3 linked regions of the Xenopus tropicalis genome follow. The protein of the gene in region 2 interacts with the protein of the main gene of each other region in a biochemical or structural test. Links are inferred from orthologs where the notes say so. Each region holds a gene or a part of one and is shown on either strand. Other genes may lie near its edges. The genes, in order: asf1a, chaf1b and asf1b.

Region 1 (3,093 bases), on a different chromosome or scaffold from region 2:
CAGATCCGCTTCTGATTGGCTGGTGGGCATGTGTATCTCAGACCAGGAGACAGGATCAAGTTACACACATGCTCAGAGAATAGGAAGGCTGCCGCTGGCACCTACAGGAAGGGGAAAGAGATTTCAGTGATGTCACTGTAGTCTTCTAACTGCTGTAGGCTGCCAGCACCATATCTCAGAGAGGCAAGCAGGGATCTGGGAATTTAGATATGCAGTAAGTACTTAAAAAGAATGCGTTTAGATTTACTTTTAATTTATATTAACCTTTCATTGTCCTTTAATACTGGATTAGAGTTGTTTACAAAGGGACTGCATATTTTTTTCCCGACTGTAGAAGAAACTATTTTATATCGAATGGCTAAATAGCCAACTGCTTGCTTGGCATTAGCAATTGTAAAATTTTAAAGATATAACACCCTCTGGTTTTCGCTTGAAAAGAAAAACCATGCAAAACATGTATTGTTTATAAAACCAAAACTGGTAAATAATTACCTTTTAACAAGAAAGTAAACTATAAAGGCATTATTTGTTGTAAGAATAGAATCCATCTGAAATAGATTTTATGTAATCAAATAGGATGTACTGTGGATGGCCCACAGTGTGCATATGTCAGGTCTGTGGTATCAAGCATAGATTTATTTCAGCAAAATATCAGAAAACAATACATCTCCAAATAAATAGCAAAATGTGCTGCAGTTGCATGTTCTAACTAGTTTGGAAAATAGCTGATAGATACCTGCCTTAAGCAGAAACAAAAATAATTAAAAATAGATTTTTTAAAAACTTTTCCCCCTAGTTCACATTTTGTTTCCACCCTTTGATAAAGGTTTCTGCCAAGGACATGTTTCCTGGTGTCCTATTTATTGGAAAATAGTGTTGCAAAGTGCAATTTTCCCATTGGCTTGAAAGTAGAAAGATGTAAAAGTAAAGTCACATGCAGTCCATGTGCGATTCTAGCATGACATTTAAAGAGTTCTCTGACATAGGCCATCCTTTTGAAGCTGAAGGTCTGGCTTCTATTGACAGTATTGGATGCAGATGAGGATTACTATCTTCAAGTTCATCAAGCTTCTCTGTATTTTCTTCCCAGTTTATGTGGAACCTGGTTACTCTAGGATTTGATGCCAAGATGTTCCTCTGAAGCTGCAGCAGAGAGAAAATGTAAATGATTTAAATGATAATTGAAAGCCTTTTAGGTTGAGGGTACATGGACTGTTGGTTCCACTGCCCTCAGCCTGCATTTTTTTTTTTTCAGGCTGAGAGAAGCGGAACGGCTCCCTTAACCAGCTCCATTGACCTGGACATAAAAGTAAAATTGTATGTACCATGCAGGCACACGCAGTAGAGGTTGGCTTGAAGATGCCTGCTTTTGCTTTTTCAGGCCGACCTCGACTCTGTTTGCAGTAGGAAACAACATGCGACTTTGGAAATGTTAGAGGTGCGGAAGCCTTTCCACCGGTGATTCACTTTATTTCTGATGGGAAGGCATTAGAAGCCACTGTAGTGGGTTTGTGTTGTGCACCATATTACTGCAGTTAGGTGACACTTCTGCATCTGTGCCATTTGATCATGATCCGCAATGTGAAGTCCCAACAATGCAAAATAAACATTACATCACCTGGCAGTTGTTTTTCAAACTATTTATTGCAGAGTTTGTAAATTCTTTACCTTGGAAAAGTCTGGTTTCACAGGAGGGTTTTCACGCAGTTCTGTTTCTGTATATTCATTATTAACATAATAGCCCACTCTGATAAACTCTTGATCTCTGTATGTGCATGTGATAAGCACCACTGTTACACCAATGGCATCTGCGTCTGGTATAAGGCCTGAGTTGGGGGCATCAGCCTAAACAAAGATGGAGACAAAGCAGTTACAAATGTTCTCTGTCAGAATCTACTGTTCGGCTCCACACTGATTCTTCCTTAAAGGAGAAGGAAAGGCAAAGTCACTTGAGGGTGCCAAAATGTTAGGCACCCCCAAGTGACTTTAATCGCTTACCTTGTACCCCGAGCTGGTGCCCCTGTTTGGAGAGAACAGCACCAACCCGGGTGCCTGCAGCAAGCGCTTCCTCTTCCTTGTTCGCGCTCGTGCATGCGCAGTAGGGTGAAAAGCTGAACTTTAACAAGAAGTCACCTTTTCACTCAGGTATTTTGCCGGCAGAGCAAACACGGAAGAAGGAAGCGCTCCGCTACAGCTACCCAGGGCTGGTGCGGTTTTCTTCTAACAGGGGCACCAGCCCCGGGGTACAAGGTAAGCGATTAAAGTCACTTGGGGGTGCCTAACATTTTGGCATCCCCCAAGTGACTTAGCCTTTCCTTCTCCTTTAAGCTTCAGAAAAATTGATTCTCTAGGAAGCAGATATGATTAATTAGTGGGGCTTGATATTTAGTTTTTTCCCAGTTACTGAAGAATCTGTACATCTCTGCCTAGTTGGTCAGAATGTGTAGTACAGCTGCCACTACATAGTACATCCACTGTGCAGACTAATTCCTGTACCACAAGTAGCAGATATTTCACTGCAATTTTATTACAGAGTGCATATCTATCCATTACTAATCTGCAAGATGCCATTTCTTTCTAGACACTTGGGACTAAGGGCTGTGGCACATGGGGAGATTAGTCGCCCACGACAAATCTCCCCGAAATGCCATCCCACCGGCGAGAATGGAAATCGCAGCACTGCATATGCCATCCCACCGGCAATTTACATTCTCACCGGTGGGATGGCATTTCCTGGAGATTTGACAGGAAAAAGTTTGAAGTTTGACAGCCACATAGCAAGTACACTTTTAAGGGCTTTGGTACATCGGGAGATTAGTCGCCCGCAACAAATCTCCCTTGTCGCGGGCGACTAATCTCCCTGTGTGCCAAAGCCCTTAAAGTGTACTAGCTATGTGGCTGTCAAACTTCAGTGGGGAGCAGTCCTTGACATGTTATATATTGACACACTGTCTGTCTGTACACGTAATTCTTGGGGGAAATTAGTCATGGTAGGCAGGAGCATAGAGACAGAGACATCAGTTCTTCAGGCAAAAAACACAAGTTTATTTTGGGGCAAACTCTACCCAACATAAACATCAGCAAACTGTTCAT
Region 2 (3,654 bases):
GCACAGGCAAACACAGGGTGAAACCCCAAGTACAGAAACTAGAACTGATAACATGGAGAAAATATAGGTTTGAAATCAGATGGTCAATTTTTCTTCCTTTCCTGGAAGCTTTCAGACCGGTAACTATAGAAACTAAAATTTTACTACGGGCTGGTTAACCTTTAAATTGACTTTTAGCATGACTGATATTTGGTGACAATTTGCAATTGGTTTTCATTTTTTATGGTCTTGTTTATTTAGCAGTTTGTTTAAATGTACTCCAGTTAGGATTTTCAGCAGCTATCTGGTTGTTAGGGTCTTGTTTACCTTAGCAGCCAGTTAGTGGGTTAGGGTGGCAGTGGCTAAGAGATAGATCTCTGCTATCACGGGTGACTACCACTCCGAAACAGCTTTTCACCAGCAACAATAGGAGTCACCGGTGGAAAGCTTTGAATATGAAAAGGAGAGTAAAATGATAAGTAATAATAATAGTAAAATTGCAGCCTTACTGCAAAGATGTACAAGAGGGAAGCAAATAATACAAAATATAAAGACCAATTGCAAAGTTACTAGGAATAGAACATTCTATAACATACTAAAAGTTAACATTAAGGGGTGAAGCACCCTTTTAATGGGGGTGTTCAATGTAGCACCCTATAAGCTCAAGGTCTTTTGGGTGCTTGGAAGGACATGTAGGAAACTGTAGTACCTGCCCCTATACATTGGTCATATTCAGAGTTTCTCAGTCAGTAAAACATGTAACCTAGGGGCTGGGTATGGTATAGGCAGGGAGCCTTTAGTGCCCTGATATGATAATCTGTACATGTACATACCATGAAATATCGCTCAGTGTGTGATAGTGCACATTAGACACGTAGCCAAAAGGGAACAGCTGCTGTGTATCATAGAATAGAACAGCGTCTTCTGAGGCGACAGCAAACACCATACGGTATGGCTGGGTGATGAGACCCTGCGGTTGGGACTCCCCAGAATCATCTTTTTAAAAAATAAATAATAATAATTTAATTTCATGTTATTGACATTTTCCCCTCCCGGTTCCTGGGATAAGAGGTTTAATCTCTGGATGTCCCAGCATGCTTTGTGATGCTCCCTAGGATCATACCTTTTACAGTTGGTCTCAGCTCAAAGTAAATAGGACAGCAGCGCACAGCCAGGGTGGCCTTTGTTGGGCAGGGGAGATGTGCCATTGGTCTAGGGAGATAAAGAAAGAAATATATCAGAAGACAAGGGGCTCATTCAGCTGGGCAACCCTTCTGATATTGTTGCTGGGAGGATGCTGGCAATCACAGGTTATACATCCAGGAACTTACCGCTTTAGGTTCTTCCTAGAGAAGACGTACGTGGTGTTAATGACCGACTCCCCGGATTCCACGCAGCCAGCTGAAAGCAAGAGCACAGAGCTAAGCTGAACGCAACACTGACACTGAATTGCTTCCCCTGCTGCTTTTGTGCAGTTGCACAACTTCCAGCTGTCTGGGCCTGTGACCACCCTTAACTAAGGATCATGGGAGTAAAAATTTAGCAACAACTAGTTTGCATATCTGTGTACTTATTTGCCTGCTGAAAAATGCTGGCAGAGAATATGCCCATGGTGTTTGCTACAGAAACCCTACTATAGTTTATATAAATACCCCGCTGTGTAGCCCCGGGGGCAGTCAATCCTGCACTGGTACAGCTGGGGTGTTTGCTACAGAAACCCTACTAAAGTTTATATAAATACCCCGCTGTGTAGCCCCGGGGGCAGCCATTCCTGCACTGGTACAGCTGGGGTGTTTGCTACAGAAACCCTACTATAGTTTATATAAATACCCCGCTGTGTAGCCCCAGGGGCAGCCATTCCTGCACTGGTACAGCTGGGGTGTTTGCTACAGAAACCCTACTATAGTTTATATAAATACCCTGCTTGTGTAGCCCTGGGGCAGCCATTCAAGCCGGAAAAAAGAAGAAATGGCACAGGTTACATAGCAGATACCAGATAAGCTCTGTAGAATACAATGGGAATCTATGCAACGCATCTGTTATCTGCTATGTAACCTGTGCCTTTTCTCCTTTTTTCAAATTGAATGGCTGCCCCCGGGGCTACACAGCAGCTTTGTTTATATAAACTATAGTAGGGATTCTGAGGCACACACACAACTTTTACCAGTGCAGGGCAACTTTGTTTATATAAACTGCAGCCACGCGTTACCATGCAACAGAATGTGTAACCATGAAGCCGGACTCATTAGCAGCTTGTGACTACCAGCCTGGACTGGGACTAAAAACAGACCCTGGCATTTTAAGTACATGGAGGCCAAAACAGCACTCCCCAGCCCAATAAATAGTGACTGTCTACGGCATCATACAGCAGCCCCTCTGGCATTTGCCAGAACCCACAGATTGCTGGTCCTTGAAGAGGGTATCTATTCTCAGATATAATTGCACTAGAACAGAATAATGAATGCTACTTGGGGAGAGGGGGAGCATCCCATAGAGAATGACATGGCAGGTGTGGGACACATAGAGAGGCACAGGGTACAAACCTGGGGTTATAAGCAGAGATCCATCAGGAGTGAAAGTCAATCTCCTAAAGAAGGACTTCATGCTGTCATCATGGTACATGCGGAAACTTTTTACCTGCCATGAAAACAAAACTAATGAATAATTCTGACACGCCCCAGGGGGGAGACAAAGACTAAAATATATAAGATCTATGTGAGCCAATCATGCAAGGATACTGCTAATCGGCCACTAATCAGAGCACATATGTTACAAAGGTGAAATCAGTGCAAGTCTGAAGCTGGCCCATACATTGCAAGATCTGCTTGTCTGCCGAGGCCACCAAACAAGCAAATCGTTCTCCAATATGCCCACCCTGGGTTGGGTGGTATTGGGTTGATCCAATTGTCTGACCTTGGATCATAATTGCTGCTATGCTGATATCTGTGCACTTTGATTTTTCCCGCTGGATTGAGGACTGTATGTGTGCATTGATGTGGTCCTTGATCCAATGGGAAAATCAAACTGCCCAGATATCGACTGAATAGGCCCATTGAAGGGCCCCGTACTCAGTCCATAGGCTGCTTTTATCAGCCCTTGTAGAGCCACGTGTAGGCACAGAATAGTCTGTAGAAGCCAAAACGGGCACAGAGGGAATAAAGGCAATACCTCTCCGTCAGCGCCAGGAGCAGACGCCATCTTGCTCACGTTATAAGCAACTCTCTTGGTCTCCGTCTTGTAAACTCGCATTATCCTGAAACACAATCACATGAGTGAGGAACTGCACAGAATTGGCTGCCATTCACCAACCCAAGACCATTTTAACCATAATTAGGTAAATCCTTTATTTAAAGGACAACTCCAGCATAAGAAAATACAATTCTAAGCAACGTTCCATTACGCATTTTCATTGGTTTTATATTGATGTGGAAATGTAATTGCCAGTGAAAGCAGAGGCTGCCTGCCCCTTTCTTTTCTCTGGTTCTGACACTGAAACAATGTAGCAGAAGTCAGTTTTTCTTGCAGCTTCATTAAGCAGCTGGCTTCTGCTACATTGTTTTAGGGGTTAGAGCCAGCAGTGCAGAAAATGTCACACAGATACTGCTTGTAATATCAGTTATATTTACATATAATGACTTGGATTAAGTATATTGGAGAGTTGCTGCATGATGAATT
Region 3 (4,298 bases), on a different chromosome or scaffold from region 2:
TTTTGCAAGGGTTAAATAGGTTACTAGAAACAAATAGGAAATAAGTTTGAAAATCAGCAGTTCCTAAAGAAAAGCATTTCAAGAGCATATATCTTTAAGTGAAAAGGTATGGCAGTCTTTCTGTGAGAAACTGCATTCTGAATTGCATTTCTGGCACTTATTATACTCTGTACTTGCCCTTCTCTAACAGAAATACAAGAAGCCTATGTGTGTGTAAGGGTGAAGACACACTGAGCTACTAGTAGCAGCTATTTTTAATGGCAACTAAACTCCAGAAAATCCCCTGACATAGACAATACTGAGAATTGCCTCTGCTAACACACAGACTATCAGTAAATGATCAGCATTGTCTATTTTAGTAGCCACGACAAGTTGCTGCAACTAGTAGCTCTGTGTGTCTTCACCCTTACACTGCACAAACCCTTTCCTTAGCCTCTATTCCCCCCCATTCATCCTGATATCTGAAAGTCAATTAGAAATAAGCTCGGCTGTGCACCCCACAAATCAGTCGCTGGATTTCCCAGTTTGCTCAACAGGGGACTCCTCTCTATTCCGCTCAATATCCTCTTCACTCCTTGGAATCAGTCGCAGACACATTACAGTGAGATCCTGCCATGCATCGAGTCAATCATTTCTGCATTTAGACGAACACCGAATTTAAAATATGGGAAAAATTCAAACCACGTCACCTTCCATAAACTAAAAACACATGTCACACTTAGCTGCCCAAAGCTTTAAAGGCACACAACTAAGGGGTTGAATGAACACCTAGGGGTATATTTATCATGCTGTGTAAAGAGTGGAGTGAAACATTACCAGTGATGTTGCTCATAGCAGCCAATCAGATGTTTTGCTTTGGTTTTCTAACTGTTGAAATCTAATTGCTGATTGGTTGCCCTGGGCAACATCACCGGTAATGCTTCACTTCACTTTTTACACAGCATGATAAATATTCCCCCAAGTATTTAGCTGAATCCTGCAAAAGGTGCCTGGATTTGGCCAACTCCTGAACTGAGCGTTTCTCTAGTAGGAAGCAATGGCACGGGAAGTTTTAATGCTGCCCAATAGCCGTCTGTTTGCGCTGCCGGCAGTGCTGTTCCCACTGTTCTGTCAGGTTAACAGACAATTCTATGATGTCTCCTACTCAAGCCTTGTTATCATATTACAGCATGCATTACATGTTCAGATCCCCCCCATTACAAGGTAGAGTTACTGGTGTATGCATATTATAGCAACAAAGGGAAGCCCTGTGGGTACGATATACTGTGAAATGACCCCAATGACCAGCCACATTCAACTCGCTACAGGCAGTGGGACAGTTACTTCTTATAGCACATGTCTGAGGGCCAATGGGGCCTTTGGGAGGAGCGTGGGGGGCACATAGATCCCTTAAGGTGGCCATACACGCACCGATAATATCGTACGAAACCTCGTTTCGTATGATATTCAGTGCGTGTATGGTATGTCGGCGAGTCGACCGATATCGCAGGAAGCTGCTGATATCGGCCGACTCGCCGACCGGACCAGTTTGAAAATTTTATGGCGCCTGACCAAAATCTCCCTTCAGCTCTGAATCGGCAGAAGGAGGTAGAAATCCTATTGTTTCTACCTCCTTACCTGCCGATTCAGCCCTGAATAGTGTGTGGCGGATCTGACGATGTTTCGTGCGACCGATGGTTGAACGAAACATCGTCAGATCGCCACGTGTATGGCCAGCTTTAAGGTGGCCACACACGTGGCGATCTGCGATCTTTTGTGCAACCATCGGTCGCAGGAAAGATTGTCAGATCCGCCACTAACCTTCAGCGCTGAAACTGCAGGTAAGGAGGTAGAAACAATTGGATTTCTACCTCCTTCTGCTGATTCAGCGCCGAAGGGAGATTTTGGTCAGGCGCCTTCTATGGCCCCCGATCAAAATCTTCTGACGTTGCTGGTCGGCGAGTCGACAGATATCAGCAGCTTCCTGCGATACCGGTCGACTCGCCGACTTGCCATAAACGCACTGAATTTCGTACGAAACCAGGTTTCGTACGATGTTATTGGTGCGTCTATGGCCAGCTTTAGATCTGGCCCACGGGCCCCAACTTGGCTACTGCCAACATGAGCCCCAATACTAACAATGGGATCCCCTAAATATGCTACTCACATTCCAATGAAAGCAATGTTAACCGAAGTAGCAATTATTTCTATATAGGTGTCACACTGGGCTCAGACAGGACTTTCATCCAATAACCGGTTACAGGAGGAGGCTCACAATAATAATAGTAACAGGTTATTATAAGCACCAACACATACTGCAGAGCTGTACAAAGCCATAACTAAGTATCCCTATCAGTTAGTTATCCCTATCAGTTAGTTATCCCTATCAGTTAGTTATCCCTATCAGTTAGTTATCCCTATCAGTTAGTTATCCCTATCAGTTAGTTACCCCTATCAGTTAGTTACCCCTATCAGGCAGCCCCCAGGGCTGAACTACAACTCCCAGCAGCCACAGACACACAGAAGCTTAACAGAAATAAAGTGCAAGCCTTTATGCCAACTAGTGATACAATTTGTATGTTGAGCATTAAACTATTTTCGGATGTTGGCCAAGTGCAAGACTGAGGGCTCCCTATACAAGTATATTCCTATATAAGTTATAGGCACACATTAGCCACGCCCCTGTGAGTAAACACGTACAGGGAAATGGGGATTATGGACACACAGGTAGGGACTATTAGTTCAGCCTGTGGCCCCCGAGTTAATATTCTACAGAGACTTGTAGTTCACCAGCAAGGTGGGCATGGGGGGAGTAAGAGTGGGCTGACAGCCCGGAGTAGAAAGGAAACAGCACTCACCTGTTGTGGCGTCTCCTCCTTCCCCGGTATGCCCGGCTGTACCGCTCCGTCCCACACAACCGTCACAAACAGCCCGCTCCTTCTTTCCCGCCCTCCGTTTTGTCTCCCGCGCCTCGCTTACAACCTCACTCCAAACGCGCCCCCCAGCCCCGCCCCCTCTGAGCCGCAAGCCCCTCCCTCTCACCGTCAAGCAACAACCAATGACGCTTCTGGATAGTGTGAAACGCATAATCACCCCCTATCTATGCAAGCCTGTAAACAGGGGTATAATGGCTCTCCCCCACGTACAGCCGAGTCTGCCTTACCAAACCAGTACATTAAACGGATTCGCTTCCTACGTCTAAAAGCCGTTCGAAGTCGTTGCCAGCATTAAAGATGGCCGCTGATTCTACCAGCTTTGGTCACATGGTCGGGGCTTGTCAGTAGCTCTCACGTTTGATTGGAGCACGGTGTTTGCTTCCCGCGCCGTTTGACGTTCGTTCCCGCGTCGGGCATTATCTTCCGGCTTAGGCTGACGCAACTTCCGGATAGGCAGGTATTGCGCGGGAAGTAAGAATGCGTGGGGTAGGTAATGGGGCGCTGATAAATACCATGACGCACTTGTGAAGCTGGGGTGTAACGGAACCGGAAACAGACTAGGGGCGGCCGAGTAGGGTACTTACTGGTAAACATTTTCCTGCCATATATTTGTTTTGTTGCACTAAACCATTATTTACACCTTAAGCATTTTTTCTGGATAAAAAAAATACAGGCTTTCATTTATTTGTGTGCATATTCCCTATTAATAAGGTTGGCATCAAGCATCATTTTTACTGCTTAGGTGGCAACCTTGCTTCAGCAGTGTGGGCAGTATATGTATTTATACTGGGAACTGGCACTTATATTGAAGTGTCACCCACTGTGACCTACAGCACTTACATTTGCCTATTTGTGTCTGTAAGTTACCCCTCCCATATAGATTGTAAGCTCTACGGGGCAGGGACCTCCTTCCTCTTGTGTCCTCGACTCTTATCTTATTGCAACTGTATCTTGTATTTATCTGTATTTATTGTTATACTGTGTATTTATCTATTATCTTAATAACCCCCTGTTTGTATTAATGTATTCTACTGTACAGCACTGCGTACATAAGTAGCACTTTATAAAGATATACATACATACAGAAACAAAGGCTGCGCTATAAAGTTTTATATTTCTATCAGGCTTGTTTAACCCCCCCCCCCCCAGCCTCTGTAGGGAATTCTGGGAATTGCTGTGCAACAAAATGATAGAAGGAACGCAAGATGGCTGTTAGAGGCGGATGTAACCGCCTCAGCCTTTATAGGCGCTCACGCCATAATTCATCGTTTCTAATGCTGTGTGAGAGGGAAATGGCTCTGCTATGTCTAGTCAAGGATTAAAGGGGACCTGTCACCCTAAGAAATAAGTCCAAATTGTTTTCTATATTGTTAGTTGAGCAAA

The links.
Region 1: the proteins of chaf1b (region 2) and asf1a form a complex in vitro, tested with the Homo sapiens proteins (2 studies listed by BioGRID and IntAct). The link is inferred for Xenopus tropicalis from reciprocal best matches to the Homo sapiens genes CHAF1B and ASF1A.
Region 3: the proteins of chaf1b (region 2) and asf1b form a complex in vitro, tested with the Homo sapiens proteins (2 studies listed by BioGRID and IntAct). The link is inferred for Xenopus tropicalis from reciprocal best matches to the Homo sapiens genes CHAF1B and ASF1B.

What each region holds. Positions count from the first base shown.
Region 1 is NC_030681.2:73,630,763-73,633,855, reverse strand, and holds the end of asf1a (histone chaperone ASF1A), read right to left. Parts: intron 1,846-3,093; coding exon 1,669-1,845; intron 1,144-1,668; coding exon 931-1,143; 3' UTR 508-930; downstream 1-507. UniProt on the Homo sapiens protein: Histone chaperone that facilitates histone deposition and histone exchange and removal during nucleosome assembly and disassembly.
Region 2 is NC_030678.2:12,925,893-12,929,546, forward strand, and holds part of chaf1b (chromatin assembly factor 1 subunit B), read right to left. Parts: intron 3,233-3,654; coding exon 3,148-3,232; intron 2,617-3,147; coding exon 2,523-2,616; intron 1,381-2,522; coding exon 1,311-1,380; intron 1,192-1,310; coding exon 1,103-1,191; intron 976-1,102; coding exon 813-975; intron 1-812. UniProt on the Homo sapiens protein: Acts as a component of the histone chaperone complex chromatin assembly factor 1 (CAF-1), which assembles histone octamers onto DNA during replication and repair.
Region 3 is NC_030679.2:134,227,205-134,231,502, forward strand, and holds the start of asf1b (histone chaperone asf1b), read right to left. Parts: upstream 2,887-4,298; 5' UTR 2,838-2,886; intron 1-2,837. UniProt on the Homo sapiens protein: Histone chaperone that facilitates histone deposition and histone exchange and removal during nucleosome assembly and disassembly. Cooperates with chromatin assembly factor 1 (CAF-1) to promote replication-dependent chromatin assembly.